Callithrix jacchus: one gene and its partners. The protein of the gene in region 1 interacts with the protein of each later gene in a pairwise test. Links are inferred from orthologs where the notes say so. Each region holds a gene or a part of one and is shown in the gene's direction. Other genes may lie near its edges.

The links.
Region 2: the proteins of MARCHF2 (region 1) and FURIN interact in a protein complementation assay, tested with the Homo sapiens proteins (2 studies listed by BioGRID). The link is inferred for Callithrix jacchus from reciprocal best matches to the Homo sapiens genes MARCHF2 and FURIN.
Region 3: the proteins of MARCHF2 (region 1) and FATE1 interact in binary tests that used the Homo sapiens proteins (3 or more experiments, as listed by UniProt). The two-hybrid records come from large-scale screens. The link is inferred for Callithrix jacchus from reciprocal best matches to the Homo sapiens genes MARCHF2 and FATE1.
Region 4: the proteins of MARCHF2 (region 1) and LDLRAD1 interact in binary tests that used the Homo sapiens proteins (3 or more experiments, as listed by UniProt). The two-hybrid records come from large-scale screens. The link is inferred for Callithrix jacchus from reciprocal best matches to the Homo sapiens genes MARCHF2 and LDLRAD1.

The regions. Positions count from the first base shown.
Region 1 is NC_133523.1:7,934,582-7,939,350, forward strand, and holds the start of MARCHF2 (E3 ubiquitin-protein ligase MARCHF2), read left to right. Parts: upstream 1-1,471; 5' UTR 1,472-1,598; intron 1,599-4,769. UniProt on the Homo sapiens protein: E3 ubiquitin-protein ligase that may mediate ubiquitination of TFRC and CD86, and promote their subsequent endocytosis and sorting to lysosomes via multivesicular bodies.
Region 2 is NC_133507.1:19,548,267-19,551,651, reverse strand, and holds the end of FURIN (furin), read left to right. Parts: coding exon 1-65; intron 66-301; coding exon 302-897; 3' UTR 898-2,378; downstream 2,379-3,385. UniProt on the Homo sapiens protein: Ubiquitous endoprotease within constitutive secretory pathways capable of cleavage at the RX(K/R)R consensus motif. Mediates processing of TGFB1, an essential step in TGF-beta-1 activation.
Region 3 is NC_133524.1:148,013,120-148,018,045, forward strand, and holds the start of FATE1 (fetal and adult testis-expressed transcript protein), read left to right. Parts: upstream 1-1,660; 5' UTR 1,661-1,742; coding exon 1,743-1,851; intron 1,852-2,846; coding exon 2,847-2,974; intron 2,975-4,926. UniProt on the Homo sapiens protein: Involved in the regulation of endoplasmic reticulum (ER)-mitochondria coupling. Negatively regulates the ER-mitochondria distance and Ca(2+) transfer from ER to mitochondria possibly implicating it in the regulation of apoptosis.
Region 4 is NC_133508.1:91,206,004-91,210,579, reverse strand, and holds the start of LDLRAD1 (low-density lipoprotein receptor class A domain-containing protein 1), read left to right. Parts: upstream 1-1,527; 5' UTR 1,528-1,564; coding exon 1,565-1,585; intron 1,586-2,124; coding exon 2,125-2,176; intron 2,177-4,576.

The DNA.
Region 1 (4,769 bases):
CTCACACCTCAGCCTCCCAAGTAGCTAGGACCACTGGAGCATGCCACCACACCTGGCTAATATTTTTATTTTACTTTGTAGAGATGGGGTTTCACTATGTTGCCCAGGCTGATCTCACATTCCTGGACCCCAGAGACCTTCCTGCCTTGGGCTCCCAATGAGCTGGGATTACAGACATGAGTCACTGTGCCTGGTCTGGATTTTAGATTTTTAAAGGACTTTATTGAAAACTTTTTTTTTTTTTTTTTTTTTGAGATGGAGCCTGGGCTCTGTTGCCCAGGCTAGCGTGCAATGGCAAGATCTCTGCTCACTGCAACCTCGGCCTCGCAGGTTCAAGTGATTCTCCTGCCTTGGCCTTATGAGTAGCTGGAATTACAGGTGCTCGCCACCAAACCCAGCTAATTTTTTTTTCGTTTTTTTAGTAGAGACGGTTTCTCCATGTTGGCCAGGCTGGTCTCAAACCCCTAACCTCAAGTGATCCAAATGCTGAGATTACAGGCATGAGTCACTATGCCCAGCCTTTGAATGGGTTCTGGGAATTACATCATAATATTAGATGAACATTAATTTTCTGATTTTGAATGTTATACTGTGATTATGTGCAAAAGTGTGCTTATACTTAGAAAATATATAGTGCAGTCTTTTTTAGAAAAATCGATATGTCTTAGAGATGTGGGGAGGTGAGTTTGCTATGTTGCCGAGGCTGGCCTTGAACTCCTGGGCTCAGGTGATCCTCTTGCCTCAGCCTCCTGAGCAGCTGGGACTACAGTCCCGCGCCACCATGGTTGGCTAACTTACTGGTAAATTTTTGGATTTTGAGACAGTCTTACTCTGTTGTCTAGGCTGGAGTGCAGTGGCACGATCTCGGCTTGCTGCAACCTCTGCCACCTGGGTTCAAGCGATTCTCCTGCTTCAGCCTCCCGAGTAGCTGGAATTACAGGCGCCTGCCACCGCATTGGCTAATTTTTGTATTTTTAGTAGAGACGGGATTTCACCATGTTGGCCAGGCTGGTCTTGAACCCCTGACCTCAGGCCATCCGCCCACCACTTTTAAATTGTTTGTAGAGACGGGATCTCAAATTAATCTCACTATGTTGTCCAAACTGGTCCCCATCTTCTGGGCTCCAGTGATCCGTCTCGGCCTCCCAGAGTGCTGGGATTACTGCGCCCGGCCAGTCTAAAAAAAAAAGTTGAATTCTGCTGCGGGTTTATTGATTAGAGAACGCCGGCGGTCTGCAGGTGGCGCAGCAGCACCCCTGGCGCCTGGGGCGGGGAGGGGGCGGGGCCAGTGCTGTGGGCGGAGCCAAGACGCGGCAGGGGCGGGGCCCGCAGCAGCGGCGCAGCTGGGCCTCTGCGGCCCAGGGCGTCCCCCGTCGCCTCCGGCCCCGCCTCTCGGGGCGGGACGTGCATGGCGATTGGCAAGTGCGGGCGAAAGGCGGTCGCTATTGGCCCGCGGAGCTGTCGGCTCGGCGGGCGGTGCCCGGACGCAGGTGCCGGCCGGAGCGGACCTAGTGGCGCCGACGTGCCGGGCCGGGCCGGGACCCGGGCCGGGGCAAACGGAGGGGCCTGTGTGGCCGCCCGGCCCGGCCGCGGATCAGGTAGGCACGGGCCTGCAGGTAGGGCCGGAGGACGCCAGTCCGCGCGCCGGCCCCGGGTTCGAGGCCGGAGCTCGGTACCCGGGAGGGACGGCTGGGCTGGATCCCTTGGCCACAGCTTTCTTGGGGACGCGGGGACCCCAGTTCCCTTGTCAAAGCCGGTGGAAGGTCCCCGGGGTCCGGCACACAGTAGGCGCCTCTTCGAGCCTTGGTTTCCCCACCTGTAAAACCGGGTCATCCCATTATCAACCTCATAGGGCTTCTGGGAGGATTCAGAAGGTTGGCTGGTGCAGAGAGCGCTTGGCACACAGTAGGCAACTACCAAGTGGCCAATGCCCTTCCCCAACCTTCTTCTCAGAGTGGCTCTGCCTACAAAATAGTAAGTTAGAATATAATGAGCCAGCCACTTTGCACAAAGATCTTCAAACAGGATGCCCTGTGCTGTGTCGGTGCTCAAAACAGGGTAGTCAGAATGGGTATGATGAGCTCATTCAGTTCTTTTGAAACCATACTGACTAGGTGGAAGCACTAGAAATGTCCCCTCTAATACAGGTGAGAGAGTCCAGGCTCAGAGAGGTTAAGTGTCTTGCCTAGGGCCACACAGCACATAAGGAGTAGAGCTGGGATTGGAACCTCCCTTCTCATGCAGGCCTAAAAGAACTGAAGGATGCACAAGAGCCTCTCTATGGTGAGGGAATAGAAATGAATGCAATGACAGCCTCCACATTTACCCTAAAAAATATTAATAGTGAGCTTTTATTGAGCACTTACTGATTGTGTGACCTCTCATCAACAGCTCTGTAAACTGATCATAGTTGTTAGAATAAAAGCTAATATTGGCCGGGCGAGGTGGCTCACACTTCTAATTCCAGCACTTTGGGAGACCAAGGTGGGCAGATCACAAGATCAGGAGTTCAAGACCAGCCTGACCAACATGGCGAAACCCCGTCTCTACTAAAACAAAAATTAGCCAGGTGCAGTGGTGCAGCCCTGTAATCCCAGCTACTCAGGAGGCTGAGGCAGGAGAATCACTTAATACTGGGAGGCGGAGATTGCAGTGAGACGAGATCACGCCACTGCACTCCAGCCTTGTGAACAGAGCAGGACTCCATTTAAAAGAAAAAATAAAGAGCTAGTATTATGAACTACATATCATTATGATGCCCCCTCTTTTTAAAAAAGTTTTTGGAACAGAGTCTTACTTTGTCACCCAGGCTGGAGTGCAGTGGTGCAATCTTGGCTCACTGCAACCTTCACCTCCCAAGTTCAAGCGATTCTCCTGTTTCAGCCTCCCAATTGGCGGGGATTTCAGGCAGGCACCACCATGCCCAGCAAATGTTTGTATTTTTAGTAGAGACGGGGTTTTGACATATTGGCCAGGCTGGTCTTGAACTCCTGATGTCAAGTGATTCACTTGCCTCAGCCTCCCAAAGTGCTGGGATTACAGGCATGAGCCACTGCACCCAGCCTCCTTCCTCCTGTTTTTTTTTTTTTTTTTTTTTTTTAGATGGAACCTCTCTGTTGCCCAGGCAGTGGCACGATTACAGCTCACTGCAACATCTGCCTCCCAGGTTCCAGCGATTCTCCCGCCTTAGCCTCCCAAGTAGCTGAGATTACAGGCGCCTACCATCATGCCCAGCTAATTTTTGTCTTTTTAGCCAAGACAGGGTTTCATCATGTTGGCCAGGCTGGTCTCAAACTCCTGGCCTCAAATGATCCACCTTCGACGAGCTCCCAAACCTGCTGGGATTACAGCTGTGAGCCACTGCACCCAGCCTATAACGCCCATTTTATAGATGAGAATACTGCGGCTGAGAGAGTAAAACAGCTGTCTGAGATCACACTGCAGGAAGTTTTAGGGCCCTCTGTTTCCTACCTTCAGGAAAAGGAGGCTGGGCAGGTATGAAAAAGACTGGGGTGGGGGCCTCAGTGTCACCCCAAACAAGCCTAGCCAAGGATGAATTACTTGATGAATTCAGCCTGGAGGCTTCTTCTCAGTAGACCCCTCCACAAACACAGTCCACTAGCTCCATCATTAGAATGAGGCCCAGAGAAGCAAAGTGACTTGAACCAGGATACCCAGCATCGGTGGCAGAGCCAGGAGAGCCAGGAGTTAAAGAATCAAGGTCTCTTGAGGTCCAGACCCACTCCCTGGAGTGTTTTAAGTTTGAATTCTGATACCACCCATTCCTAGCTGTCTGATTGTGGGGAAATAGGTGCCTCTCTCTGAGCCTCAGCCTCTCCCCACATTATAGGGTATAATTATTGGTTTGTTGTGAAGACTCAATGCGATCTATCTCCAGGCTGGGAGTGGTGGCTCATGCCTGTAATCCCAATATTTTGTGAGGCTGAGGCCGGCAGATCACTGGAACCCAGGAGTTCAGGACCAGCCTGGGCAAAACATGGCAAAACACCATCTCTATAAAAATTAGCAGGGCTTGGTGGTGTGCAGAGCTACTTAGGAAGCTGAGGTGGTAGGATCACCTGAACTGGGGTGGTAGAGCTGTGATTGCTCCACTGCCCTCCAGCCTTGTGGGTGACAGAGTGAGACCCCGCCTCAAAAACAAAAAAACAGACGAAAGAAAAGAAATAGGCCAGGCACACAGTGATTCAAGCCTATAACCTCAGCACTTTGGAAGGCCGAGGCAGGTGGGGTCAGGAGTTTGAGGCCAGCCTGGCCAGCATGGTGAAACCCTGTCTCTACTAAAAATACAAAAAATTAGCTGGGCGTAGTGGTGGGCACCTGTAATCCCAGCTACTCTGGAGGCTGAGACAGAAGAATCGCTTGAAGCTGAGGAGCTGAGATCGTGCCATTGCACTCTACCCTGGGCAACAAGAGTGAAACTCTGTCCTCACCAAAAAGAAAAAAGAAAAAAAAAGGCAAAAGAAATAAAGAAATCTCCTGGGTAGTGGCCACGTTGTGCTGGAGGCATCAGCTCACTTTCCCATTCCAGCAGCCCCGGAGTTGAGTCCAACCTGCAGTCACCCTCTCTTTGTGTCCAGCCTCAAGTTTGGCCTCTTCCAGGCCTGGGCATCTGTGGTTTGCGTGGACTTCTAGCATCTAAACATTTCTAATGCCCACCACAGGGGCTGGCCGACCAGGATTGGAGGATCGAGAGATGTGGCTCTCCCACACTGTTCTTATACCGATTGAGGATTGAAAAATGACTGCAG
Region 2 (3,385 bases), on another chromosome or scaffold:
GGGGCTGCCTGTACCTCCTGAAAGCAGCGGCTGCAAGACCCTCACATCCAGCCAGGCCTGTGTGGGTCAGTAGTGGGTACTGTTGGGCTTTGGGGGCCTGAGTCTAGGGGGAAGGCGGGTGCTTGTCCTGAATCCCAGCTTTAAGAGAAAAAGGTCTCAAGAGACCTGGGGTGCTTGGGATAACCACAGTCCTGGGGCTGGGGAAGCCTGGGGGTGTGGTGAGTTGCCCTGGGGCAGCTGTGGCCCTATGGCTACAGTCTCTGTAGCTGACACACACTCACCCTCTCTCCTACGCCGACAGTGTGTGAGGAAGGCTTCTCCCTGCACCAGAAGAGCTGCGTGCAGCACTGCCCTCCAGGTTTTGCCCCCCAAGTTCTGGATACACACTATAGCACCGAGAATGATGTGGAGACCATCCGGGCCAGCATCTGCGCCCCCTGCCATGCCTCATGTGCCACATGCCAGGGACCGGCCCCCACAGACTGCCTCAGCTGCCCCAGCCACGCCTCTTTGGACCCTGTGGAGCAAACTTGCTCCCGGCAAAGCCAGAGCAGCCGAGAGTCCCCGCCAGAGCAGCAGCCACCACCCCGGCTGCCCCCAGAGGTGGAGGAGGAGCCGCGGCTGCGGGCAGGCCTGCTGCCCTCTCACCTGCCTGAGGTGGTGGCCGGCCTCAGCTGCGCCTTCATCGTGCTGGTCTTCGTCACTGTCTTCCTGGTCCTGCAGCTGCGCTCTGGCTTTAGCTTCCGGGGGGTGAAGGTGTACACCATGGACCGTGGCCTCATCTCCTATAAGGGGCTGCCCCCTGAAGCCTGGCAGGAGGAGTGTCCATCCGACTCAGAAGAGGATGAGGGCCGGGGCGAGAGGACCGCCTTTATCAAAGACCAGAGCGCCCTCTGATGAGCCCACTGCCCACCCCCTCAAGCCAATCCCCTCCTTGGGCACTTTTTAATTCACCAAAGTATTTTTTTATCTTGGGACTGGGTTTGGACCCCAGCTGGGAGGCAAGAGGGGTGGAGACTGCTTCCCATCCTACCCTCAGTGCCCCCTCCATGTGGAGAAAGGAGTGAAACCTTCAGGGCAGCCAGCCCCGGCCACAGCCAGAGTTCCTGCGGAGTGAAGATGGGCAGCCCTTGCTTGTTGGGATTCCTGACCCAGGCCACCGCTCTTGCCCTTCCCTGTCCCTCTAAAGCAATAATGGTCCCCATCCAGGCAGTTGGGAGGCTGGCCTGGGAGGCATTTGTGGGAGGAGGCCACCTCTCCAAGGGCTTTCGCATCCTCCACCCTGTCCCCTAGCTCTAGTGAGTCTTGGCGGCAGCAGCCATCATAGGAAGGGACCAAGGCAAGGCAGGTGCCTCTGGGTGTGCACGTGGCCAGTGTCCCCTGGCCCACCTTGTGCTCCATGTCTCCACAACCACTGGCTGCCAGGTTGGCACAGCTAAGGCGGAAGCTGTCAGAACCCTGTGCTGGTGTCCTCGCCACCCTCCCTTCTCTTGCACCCGCCTCTCTGGTTGGGGCCCAAGTCCCTGTTTTCTGAGCCCGGGCTGCCTGAGCTGTTGGCACTCACAGACCTGGAGCCCCTGGGTGGGTGGTGGGGAGGGGCGGTGGCCCAGCCAGCCTCTCTGGCCTCCCACCCGATGCTGCTTTCCCCTGTGGGGATCTCAGGGGCTGTTTGAGGATATATTTTCACTTTGTGATGATTTCACTTTAGATGCTGATGATTTGTTTTGTATTTTTAATGGGGGTAGCAGCTGGACTACCCACCTTCTCACACCCACCGTCCACCATGCTCCTCCTTGGCTGCCCTGGCCCTGAGCTGTGGGGGCTGCAGCATGTTCTGAGGAGTGAGGAAAAGTTGAGCCCCAAGTCCTGAAGAGGCAGGCCAGCCAGGTGGGCTGGAGGAAAGGGGGTCCCCTGGTGGGAGGGCAGGCTAACATCTGTTTTCAAGTGGGGCTCGCCAAGCCAAGGGCCCAGAGGTCACTGGCTCTCCAAGTGCCAGGGGTGGGCAGGTGGTGACACTCAGCCCCCTCAACACTGTGCCCTGGTGGAGAAAGCACTGACCTGGCAAGCCCCCCAAAACCCCTCTTCTGACGTGCCTTTTGCACCCCTCCCATTAGGACAATCAGTCCCCTCCAACCTGGGAGCCCCCTTTTCTTTCCCCTAGCCATTCCTGGTACCCAGCCACCTGCCCAGGGGTGCCCCCTCCTCCCATCCCCCCACCCTCTTGGCCAGCCCGGCTGGTTTTGTAAGACACTGGGTTGGTGCACAGTGATTTTTTTCTTGTAATTTAAACAGGCCCAGCATTGTTGGTTCTATTTAATGGACACGAGATAATGTTAGAGGTTTTAAAGTGATTAAACGTGCAGACTATGCAAACCAGGGCCAGTCTCCAGTGTGGTACCATTGCCCCTTCATGGCGGCTGGGGGCCAGTTAGGCCTTCGCAGTGGCCAGCCTGCCTGGATGTGGGCTTGAGTCAGACGGCCAAAGTCCTCCAAGGGGTTGGAGGTTGTACCAGCCCTAGTGGAAGGAGGCAGCCCCCTGGGGTGGGGCCGGTGACCCCTGAACCTTAGGAGCTGAGCAGAGAGCACTTCCAAAGGACTTGTCTCCAGCAGTGTGAAGAGCAACTGGGCATATTGTGCCTTCCTGGGCTGAAGTGACCTGGCTGCCAGGGCTATGGGGCTGAGGCCTAAAGCGGGGGCCTAGCTGAACCAAGACTACTTGCTAGGGGAAGCCAGAGTCCCACATGGAAAACTCTGCACCTCTCCACCCACCAGCCCCTGCCCTCTGAATGCCCTAGGCCTCCCTTAGGACAGGAAGCCCCTGCCTGGGGGTAGGAGGATGGAGTCGGAGCCACCAGGGCCTGTCCCTGAGAAGCAGCCTCTGTTCGGGATATTTACTTGGAAATTTTATTCAAATAGAAGCTGGCGCCTGAGCCTCTCCTTAGGGAATACCATGAGGTGGGGAGAGCTGGCCCAGGGTTCCCTGGTCCTCTCCTGCGGTGGCCCAGGCCTGGTGCTAGGACTGCGCGCCTCCCCTCAGCCACCGACACCCCCGGCTTCCCTGGGTCCAGCATCTGCCTGGGGCCTTGCCCTGCAACGCCGCCCCCACCTTGCGCCCCTTCCCGGTGTTCCCGGGGCGCTACGGGGCCCAGGGGCTGCAGGGCGCAGGCGGCGCTCAGCTGAGCCATTCTTTCCCGGCCCCCTCCTCCCTTCCGTTTCCGTGGCCGCGCAGCCGGCTGGAGGCTGTGGCCCAGCGCGGAGCAGGGGGGCTGGCAGGCGTCGAGGCCGTCGAGCAGCTCCTGCCCGCCCCTTCCCCTCCAGGCCCGCCCCAGGGCCGAGGCCAACTGAAACCACGGAGGAGGAAGCGCGGAATCAGGAACTGGCCGGG
Region 3 (4,926 bases), on another chromosome or scaffold:
ATTTTTTAGAGTAAATATGTCCCAAAGGTTAGTGTACAAGAGAGCATACTTACACTAAAAATGATGTGCTTTTTACCTGAAATTTAAATGTACTTTGTACCTGTACTTTCATTTGCTCAATATGGCAAACGTGACTGGGCTTCCCAGGCTCCTAAATCCCACTGAACTGAGCACCCTCCACAGTTTCTCTGCTTCCAAGGTGGCCCTCCAGAAAGCTCAAATTTCATTGCAGCTGCTCCACTGGAGCTGAGAAGGGCTTCTTTGGGGCCCCCAGGAATGCAGGCAGGGACTACATCAGCTCTGCTTCCCAAGAGCTCGGCCCCAGCACTGGACAGGTGAGATGGGGGCAGGGGGCAGTCAGTCTCAGACCAAGCAGCCCTATCTCAGCTAGTCCTGGCCCCTTCTTCTCTGTTTCCCTCCCTCCCTCCCTTTCTACCTATCTCCCTTCCTCCCTTCCTCCCTCCCTCTTTTCCTCCTTTCTTCCACCTCTTCCTCCCACTTGGCCCAGGGACTCTGGGGGAAGAGGAGGCTATTTGGAAAAGGAACCAGGACAGGTTTATAAAGGATTCCTTTTACAAATAGCCTCCTATTACCCCAGGGGCTCTGGGGTTGTTTCCTAAATGAAGGGTTCAGCATTGGTGGTTGTAGCAATCAGGGTTTTCAGAGAAACAGAGCTGATAGGATATATGTATGTATGTATGTATGTATGTATGTATGTATGTATGTATCTACATATGCACAAATATAGAGAAATTTATTTTAAGAAATTGGCTTATGTGACTGTGGGCCTCACAAGTCTGAAATGTACAGGACAGGCCGGCAGGCAGGAGACTCAGGCAAGAGTTGACCCTGCAGTCTTGGGGTTGAAATGCCTCTTCTCTGGAAACCTCAGTCTTTGCTCTTCAGGCCTCTCAGTTGATTGCGTGAGACCCACCCACATCATCGAGGATGAGTCTCTACTTTATTTCAAGTCCACTGGTTGTAGATGCCAATCACAGCTACAAATTGCCTCATCAGCAACACCTACACGGTGTTTGATGGAATCACCAGGGGCAAGTGCCTGGCCCAGGTGACTCATAAACCTGACCATCACAGTGGTCTAGTCAGTAGGTAAGCTGAGGGAGAATTGGAACTTAGAAGGTGCAGGGCCTGAGGCCCTTGGGGTTCTAGTGGCTGCAGTCAGGTCACACCTCTTTCACCCTTCCCTCCTTTGGTTCTCATGGCTCCTGCCTAGGCTGACCGACTTCAGAAAAAGGCTGCCTCCTGTGTTTGGGGACTCTGGATATGGGAGGTAGGATATGCTCTCCAGAGAATCCCTTTTGAAGGCATGGTATGGCCTGGATTGCTAGGACCTAACTCTGCTGTGGCCACTGTGTGGCTCTTGGACCCTGTGCCAATCCTTGCATCTGCCTAGAAATGATGATGGGATCCCCCATGAGCTAAATCTGGAGATCCATGAGCCAGAGCAGTTCTCACAGGCAAAAGCTTGGAGTTGTATCTCTTCTAAGCTGCTTACAGAGTTGCAGGGGAGAACGCCATGGACCCAACCAATTAGATACAATGGGAACAGAAGGTACTCAGTCCAAGGCCTCAGCCTAGAGAGGGAGTGTCACTCCACCCCCAGGTCCTACTATATCTTCCTTGAGCTCCTGTCCCTGGAAGAGGCGATTTTCTGAGTGTGACTCCTCTGTTTCTGGCACCCTGCACATTTTTAGCCATTGCTTACAAGTGAACAGCTGGTTATGATGGCAGGAGGCCCTATCAGCACCAGGGAGGAGGTAGAAATATCCCTGGCTGAAGAACTGAATCATGGAAGCCAAGGGCAAAACCAAGAGCACCTGGGGATAGCAGGTGAGGATCCTCTAAAATACCACTTGGCTATAGCCAACTCTGTAGATACGTGTCTATACCTGTGCATGTGTGTGTTGGAAAAGGTGCATGTGTGCAAGGAAGTGTTTGCACATGTGTGTGTTGGGGAGCTTCGAGGATTTGTGGGTTGATGATAAGGGAGGTAGGGAAAAGGGAGCATTTTTCCTACTGTCTCCCACTTGTCCAAGCCACCACCATGTCTGTTGCAAAATACTCAGAGAGCTCAAATTACAAGATCAGAGATCAATTCTCTCTCCCAATGCTCTAATTCATTTCCCTGCCCTTCAGAGGAAAGTCCAAACTCCACAGTCTATAAGATAGTATCAGCCTCCTCAAAACATTTCATGCTATGATATAGACAGAAAATATCATTTCTATAGCTCACAAAAGGGCCAAGATCACACTGCATTTATGTTTGTTATTACAATGCTGCAAGCGTGCTTATTCCCCAAAGACCTTGCATTTGCTGTTTCTTCTGTCTGGAATGTGCTTTCCCTCAATTTCCCAGGGCTGGGTCCTTTATTTCTTTCAGGTCCCTGCTTCAGTTTTTGTCTCCTACTTTTTAGAGGGAGCCCTTTCCTTCTACTATGTTACCATGTTTTGATCGTTTATGGAGCCTGTGTCTCTCTGTCTGCATTTGCGAGGATAGATTACTTTCTGCTGTACACCTGTCATTCCCCCTTATACACAAACAGATGGTCAGTTCTTTGAGAGCTGGAATCTTGTTCTTGATCATTGCTTTCTAAGTGAATAGAGAGTAACCTAGTCTCGAGCTCAGCCATCAGGAAATGCTTGATTAACTTTTGAACAAATGAACAAACTGAGGCCTGGGATCAGCTGGTGGATAGTGTTGAACGGGTGTTGAGTGATTCCCGAGAAGGCTGTGGCCTCTGCCTTCTTTTATGCTGTGTTTCGTGTCCAAAAAGCCCTGGTATAACTTCTGTGGGTGCTCCTGAGGCCTCTGTTCTTCTCTCTAGAAGTGATGGATCATAGATCTCGGTCCCTCAGTGTCCCCCAGAAGAGGCAGAAGGTGGAATCAAAAGCTGCAGGCTCTGCTGAAGCCAAACCAGTTTGGAATATGACTGCCACCCGGCCCAAGAAAATGGTACTGTATGGGGTCCTCAGCATAAGGTGGCCAGGTTGGGATTGGGAGTACTGTTTGTAGGGGCTCTTGCCTCACCAGGTCAGTCAGGGCTAGACATTGACTTGGGAGGAAGAGAAAGCTCCTGTGTTCCGAGCTGGCAAATGAGGAAAGGAAGGTCCAGTTAAAGGTCACGGTCATCCTTTCCTATACTAGAGGTTCAACCTTGGGAGTTCGGAATTCTTGAAACAAATATTGCTTAGGGAGTAAATAAATACTTTACTTTGTAAATCTATTGCGTGAAATAATGCTTTCCTGTATTTAAAATTATGTGTGTGGTACACGTGTGTGTATACACACAATAAGTCAGGTGAGGCTCCTATCCTTTCTGGCTGTTAAGAAATCCAGTCAAGTGGCCTGGCATGGTGACTCATGCCTGTAATCCCAGCACTCTGAGAGGAGGAGATGGGCAGATCACTTGAGGCCAGGAGTTCGAGACCAGTCTGGCCAGTATGGTGAAACCCCCATCTCTATTAAAAATAAAAAAATTAGCTGGGCATGGTGGCACATGCCTGTAATCCCAGCTACTCAGGAGGCTGAGGCATGAGAATCGCTTGAACTCAGGAGGCAGAGGTTGCAATGAGCCAAAATCATGCTACTGCACTCCAGCCTGGGCAACAGAGAGAGACTCTGTAAAAAGAAAGAAGGGGGTGGGGGAGAGAGAGAGAGAGAGAAGAAGCAAGGAAGAAAGGAAGAAATCCAGTGAAGTGAATCTGACAATTTTGTAGCCAATGCTTTTAAGCTACATTCAATATGGGTGAAGAAATATTCTAGAACAAATAGTGGCTATACTGCTGCAAATGATATTGAGAAAAACAGTCATTTTGGAGGGAGAGGGAATTCTGACTCTTCTGGAGAATTAGGTGAGTTCCACAGTTCTGTAGCCAATCCTTTTAGCTAGCTACATTCACTGTGGGTAAGGGAAAGTTTTAGAAAAATTGATATGCTGTTGCAAAGGCTGCTGGGAAAAGGCAACAGGATTGGAGAGGGAGGGAGGACTGACTGCTCCAGGAAATAATGTGAGTCCCACGGTTCTGTGGCCAATTCTTTAAGCTACATTCACTGTGGATGTTGAATGTTCTAGAAAGATGCTGGCCACATTGTCGCAAAGGATACTGAAAAAGGCATTTATTTTGGAGAGAAGGGAGACCTGACTGCTTTAGGGAATCACAAATCCCATCTTTCTGTAGCCAATGCTTTTCACCACATTCAGGTTGGTGAGGAAAAATTAATAAAATTTTAGAAAATGGTGGTTTTTACTGTTACCACAGAAAAGTTTGGAAGTTACTGGGAAAGGGAGGGAGACTTGATTGCTGAAATGATTTGTTGGATGGCCCCAGGGAAGATTGAGAAAAAAGGCTTCCAGGTTTAAAGATTTCCTGGGAATAAAAATAGGTCAGATGTTGATCTGGCTTCCTGTGTCCAAAGACAGAAGCCAAATCAAGCTGCCCAGGAGGTCAGGCTCCGAGACTAGGGAGAATATCACCTCTGGTTTAATTAAAGCTGGTTATGAGGGCTAGAGGCAGACTGCCTGAAAATATACCCTTATACTGAATTTAGAAATTCAATTTAGAAATTTAGAATTAGGAAATCTAATTTATTTATTTATTTATTCCTTTATTTTTGAATAAAACAGCTGATGGAACTGCCTCTACGAGAACCATAATATGCAAAGGCGAGAAAAGTTAAAAATGCTTTCCTGATGACTCGGAAAAAGTAGTGTGCCTTTAAAGTTACATGGAAGTAAAAGTAACATTTTTGGAAATGATTAACAGAGAGAAACAAACAAACAAAATCCAGCCATTTCTATTTTTATTTTTTGCCTTCGAATCTCTCAAATATATTTTTTTATCCTTCTGATTCCAATTTATAGGAAAGTCAAGCGATTATAGTCATGGGGTCTCCCTAATACCCAT
Region 4 (4,576 bases), on another chromosome or scaffold:
CCTGCCTCAGTCTCCTGAGGGATGATGGGCACTGCCACCACGCCTGGCTAATTTTTTGTATTTTTAGTAGAGACAGGGTTTCACCACGTTGGCCAGGCTGGTCTCGAACTCCCAGGTGACCCACCTGCCTGGCCTCCCAAAGTGCTGGGATTACAGGTGTGAGCCACCATGCCTGGCCTCCTCTGGCCATTCTCAACCAAGACTGGCAGGAGCTGGCAGATTAATACCCCAGTTCCCCCCACCTTGAGAGGGATCACTGAGGTGCATCTTTGCCCCTGGCTTCCCCGAGGGCCCCAACAGGGCTGAACTCCACTTGCCCACAGCAGGAACCTGCGTTTAAGGATCCTTCTCTTTCCAGTCTCATTTCCCTCATTCCCCGACCACTGTTTCCTGGGATCACTCCCAGTTAAATCTACTTGCCCTCGAATATTGTCTTAGAGTCTGATTCTGGGGAATCCTAAACTAAAACACCCCCTTCATCTGGTTTATATCTTCATTTTATGGATGAAGGATCGGAGGCACAGGAAGGGGAGTGAATTGCCCAAGTCAGAGCCAGTGGTAGGGCCCTACTGAGAGCCCCGTTCTCCTGGTCTAGGTGTCAGCTCTGCGCAGTGTTACTTGCTGCCTCCCAAGGGCTGCCCCTGCACCTGCCCCTCCTACTTGCACCCACATGGATTCAGCATTTTATTTCCCAAAGCAAAAGAAAAGGCTGATTGCAGGTTGGAAAATCTATGGGCGTCAGAGGCAGGTGAAAGGGGATCCTCCCTAGAACTCTTGAGCTCATTTCTGGAGGTAGCCATCTCTCCTTTCTTGGTCTGGGTCATTGGACTTGGCCCTCAAGCTTCCAGGTTTACTCAGCAGTGGGACAGGCTGCTAGGGAAACCCACTCACTGGGAGCGTAGAAGGGGTTATTCAGGCAAGCAACCAGCCCCCCTCCTCTTCCCTACTTCGGGTGCCACCTCAGGGACAGTAAAAATTCACATTGCCACACTTCTAAAGAAAATAATTTAAAGTTATATTTGCTTTATACTTTTAGCGGAAAGTGCATATTCTTTCAATCTGGATTACCTGTGTTGTTTAACAGAAAGAACAGCAATGAGAAAATGACCCCTGCTTTCTAGCCACTGAAATGTTAATTCCGGGAGTTTCTACCTGCATCTTCATCCCCCTGGAACCAGAGCTCCTCCGGTTCTCTCGCTGATGCGGAGGAAAAAGCACTCTTGAAAAGTTTCTGGGTTTCACCCCTCCCACCTACTGTGCGACCTGGGGCAGTTTCTCCCTTTCTGAACCTCTGGCTCTTCATCTGTGGATGGGGATGAGGATTCCAGCCTCGCAGTGTTGCTGTCAGACGGCAGAGAAGGAAACAGCCTGGCCAGAGCAGGGCCCTCTTGCCCTTGCCTCTGCTTGGAAGGCAGCTGGGAGGGAGGGGGCTGCCCACAGGGAGGGTGTGGCCCAGGCAAAGCTCCTGCCTGTCCCTCCTCCAGGCTGCCCCTGGTGACAAGGCAGGGAACCCATGCTGAGCTCTCTGCACACAGCCCCAGTCAGGGAGCTGAAAGCCGAAGACATGAACAAGGTCTTCCCCGAGGTAAGGGCTGCCTGGACCAGGCTCCTGATCTTGGGAGAGCAAACCTTGGGATGAGGAGTGTGGGCAGTAGAGAGTGGGCATACATGGGAGACATGGAGGAAAATCAGCCCCCGTCCTGGCCCGGGGCTCACTCCCAGGGTGTAGGGGGCCCTACCAGTGACCCAGCTGTAGAGTCCAGGTGGCAAGTGCTGGGACGGACACAGAGGAGCCGGGTGGACAGGAAGGGAGAGCGTTAGCTTTACTGGGTATCAGGGAAAGCTTCACCGAGGAGTCGCTGCCCACGCCAGTTTGAAGGATGAATATTTGCCAGGTGGACAGCAGAGGAAAAGGCGCCCCAGACAGAGGGCCCAGTGCAGGCAAAGGTGTGGAAATGGGAAGCCGGCATGAGGCATCTGGGGCGTTGAGCGTGCTGGGGTGTGAGGGAGCCACGGTGCCACCGAAGACTCTCGGTGACCCCTTCTGAAAGCCCTGCTGTCTGCCTCCCTGAGGCTGGACCTCACCTCACCTAAGCCCACCCCTCACTCTGTTCTCTTGGGCAGGGAGAGAATGGCCGCATTGCTGCTGGACCCAAGGCCCTCCCTGGAGGGGAAGGTAAAGAACTGAAGGGCCCAGGGCCAGTGCCCTGTGGGGCTCCCTTGAAGCTGGCAGTTGGCTATAGAGGCATGAGGAAGGTTGGAGGATTCCAGGCTCCCGCTGCCCCTCAGACCTCTGCCCCATGTTAATGTTGTCTGCTCCCAGCTTCCTGGTCAGATGCTGACAGTCACTTGCTTAATAGGGTTATTCATTCTCTCCATGCACACATATTTATTAAGCACCTACTGTGTGCTGCCGACCTCACAGGCACCAAACTGCATTCAGTGCCCACCTGTAATACAGCATCAAACTGACTCAGTGGGTGACCTGGACAATTCTCTTTACCTCTGAGACACATTTATTTAGCCCTACTATGTGCCGCTGGCCCACAGTGTGACCAGAACAGTTCTCTTTACCCTTCTGAAGATAGAAGGAAGAAACAGACATGTATTGAGCATTGTATATGCCCTGGCGTGGCCCACATTTGATCAATGAGGAGACACACCCAGAGAGGTAGATGAAAATACCAACTATAAAGGACCCAGTACAGTTATGTGCCTGGCACTGCATGGCCCCTTTAATCCCCAGGACAGCTCTGAGACAGGGGCTCTGTCATGGGGCAATCACAGATAAGGCAGCTGAAACTAAGAGAAGTTGGGTAACCAGGCCAAGGTCATACAGCGGGGAGGCCGGAGGGCCAGGGTTCAAATGTGAACTGAGGTCTCTCTGGTTACAAAGCCCCAGGGCTTTTGTTGCCGCATACCGGTGTTTGTTTTTTTCCAAGTCCTGACTCATGACGGGTGTGGTTGTGGCAAGAATAGCCTCCTTTTCCTCATCTGTGCAGGGAAGGGACTGGCACCTAAGGGCTTTCTGGCTTTGAAGCGCAACAGCTTCACCTGGGCAGGAGCCTTGGTTCTGCCGGTTCTCCCGTGGCAACATCTTGCACGTGGTCTGTGCTGCACAAATATTTGAGGAGCTGCTTGGCTGACCAGCACACCTCTCCCTGCCCAGAGTCACGCTGCCTCCCTGGTTACCTGAGTTTACCCTGTTTGCTGACGGCCACAGAGCCACCAGCTAGGGCTGTAGGGATGACGGGGTTTTAGATTCCTGCTGCCTTGAATACCATCGTATCCCTCCCAGCGCACATCCATCCTGGAGCCCCGCCACGCCAGGCCACTTGTGCTCCCCCACCTGCAACCACCAGACCTTTCCACTTGCCACGCCCTCTGCCTGGAAGCCCCTTTCTTTGCACCATTCCCTTACCTGCCTGTGGAAATCCCACCCGGCTTCTGAGGACCCTGCATCAGAAATGTGAATGGATTGAAAATAACTGACCCATAGTGGGGGCCTTCCCTTGTCTCCTGGACCCCTGGGCTAGCATATTCACAGAGTGTTCACAAATCTCTGGGCCTGGCACGGTGGCTCACACCGGTAATCCCAGCACTTTGGGAGGCCAAGGTAGGTGACCACCTGAGGTCAGGAGTTGGAGACCAGCCTAGCCAACAGGGTGAAACCCCATCTCTACTGAAAATACAAAACTTGGCCAGATGTGGTGGCAGCCACCTGTTATCCCAGCTACTTGGGGGGCTGAGGCAAGAGAATCTCCTGAACCTGGGAGGCAGAGGTTGCAGTGAGCCGAGATCATGCCACCGCATTTCAGCCTGAGCAATAGAACGAGACTCCATCTCAAAAAAAAAGAACCCCCCCGCAAAAAAAAAGCTCCCACCATGTGCCTGGCTCTGGGCTGGGTCCTGGGGTCACAGGGTGAATCATACCTGCCCCTGCCCCTTTCTCTGAGGTACCTGTGGCCTGGGCAGGTCAGTAGCTCCCACGCTCCTTCAGACATGTCCATGCTTTGCCTTCTAAGTGCAATAACAAGCTGCAGAGGGCAAGGACCAGAGCTGGAGCCACACAGCGGGGCACCAGGAGGTCCTTAGTAAAGGCTTCTGTTATTATTTTGTAAGCAGGAGAGAATTAAAGTACAGTTTTACAAGAGCAGGGACATCCCCTATCACTGTGATTTCCAGTGCTTAGAATAAAGCTTGGCACGTGGCAAGTCCTCAACAAGCAATAACAGCCCAGACACAGCAGTGCGCAGCTGTTACAGGACTTTGGGAGGCCGAGGCAGGAGGACTGTTTGAGCCCAGGACTTAGAGTGTGCAGTGAACTATGATTGCACCACTGCATTCCAGCCTGGGCAACAGAGCCGGACCCTATCTCTAAAATTAAAAAAAAATTTTTTTAAGCAATAATAATAGCTCATATTCATCATTTACTATGTGCCAAGCACTGTTCTAACACATTAACTCAACAAATTCTAATCCTTTCAGCAAACTTTAAGGTAGCTATTACGGTCCCCATTTCCCACATGAAGCAACTGAAGTGCAGAGAAGTGAAGTGACTTACTCAGTGTGGCTC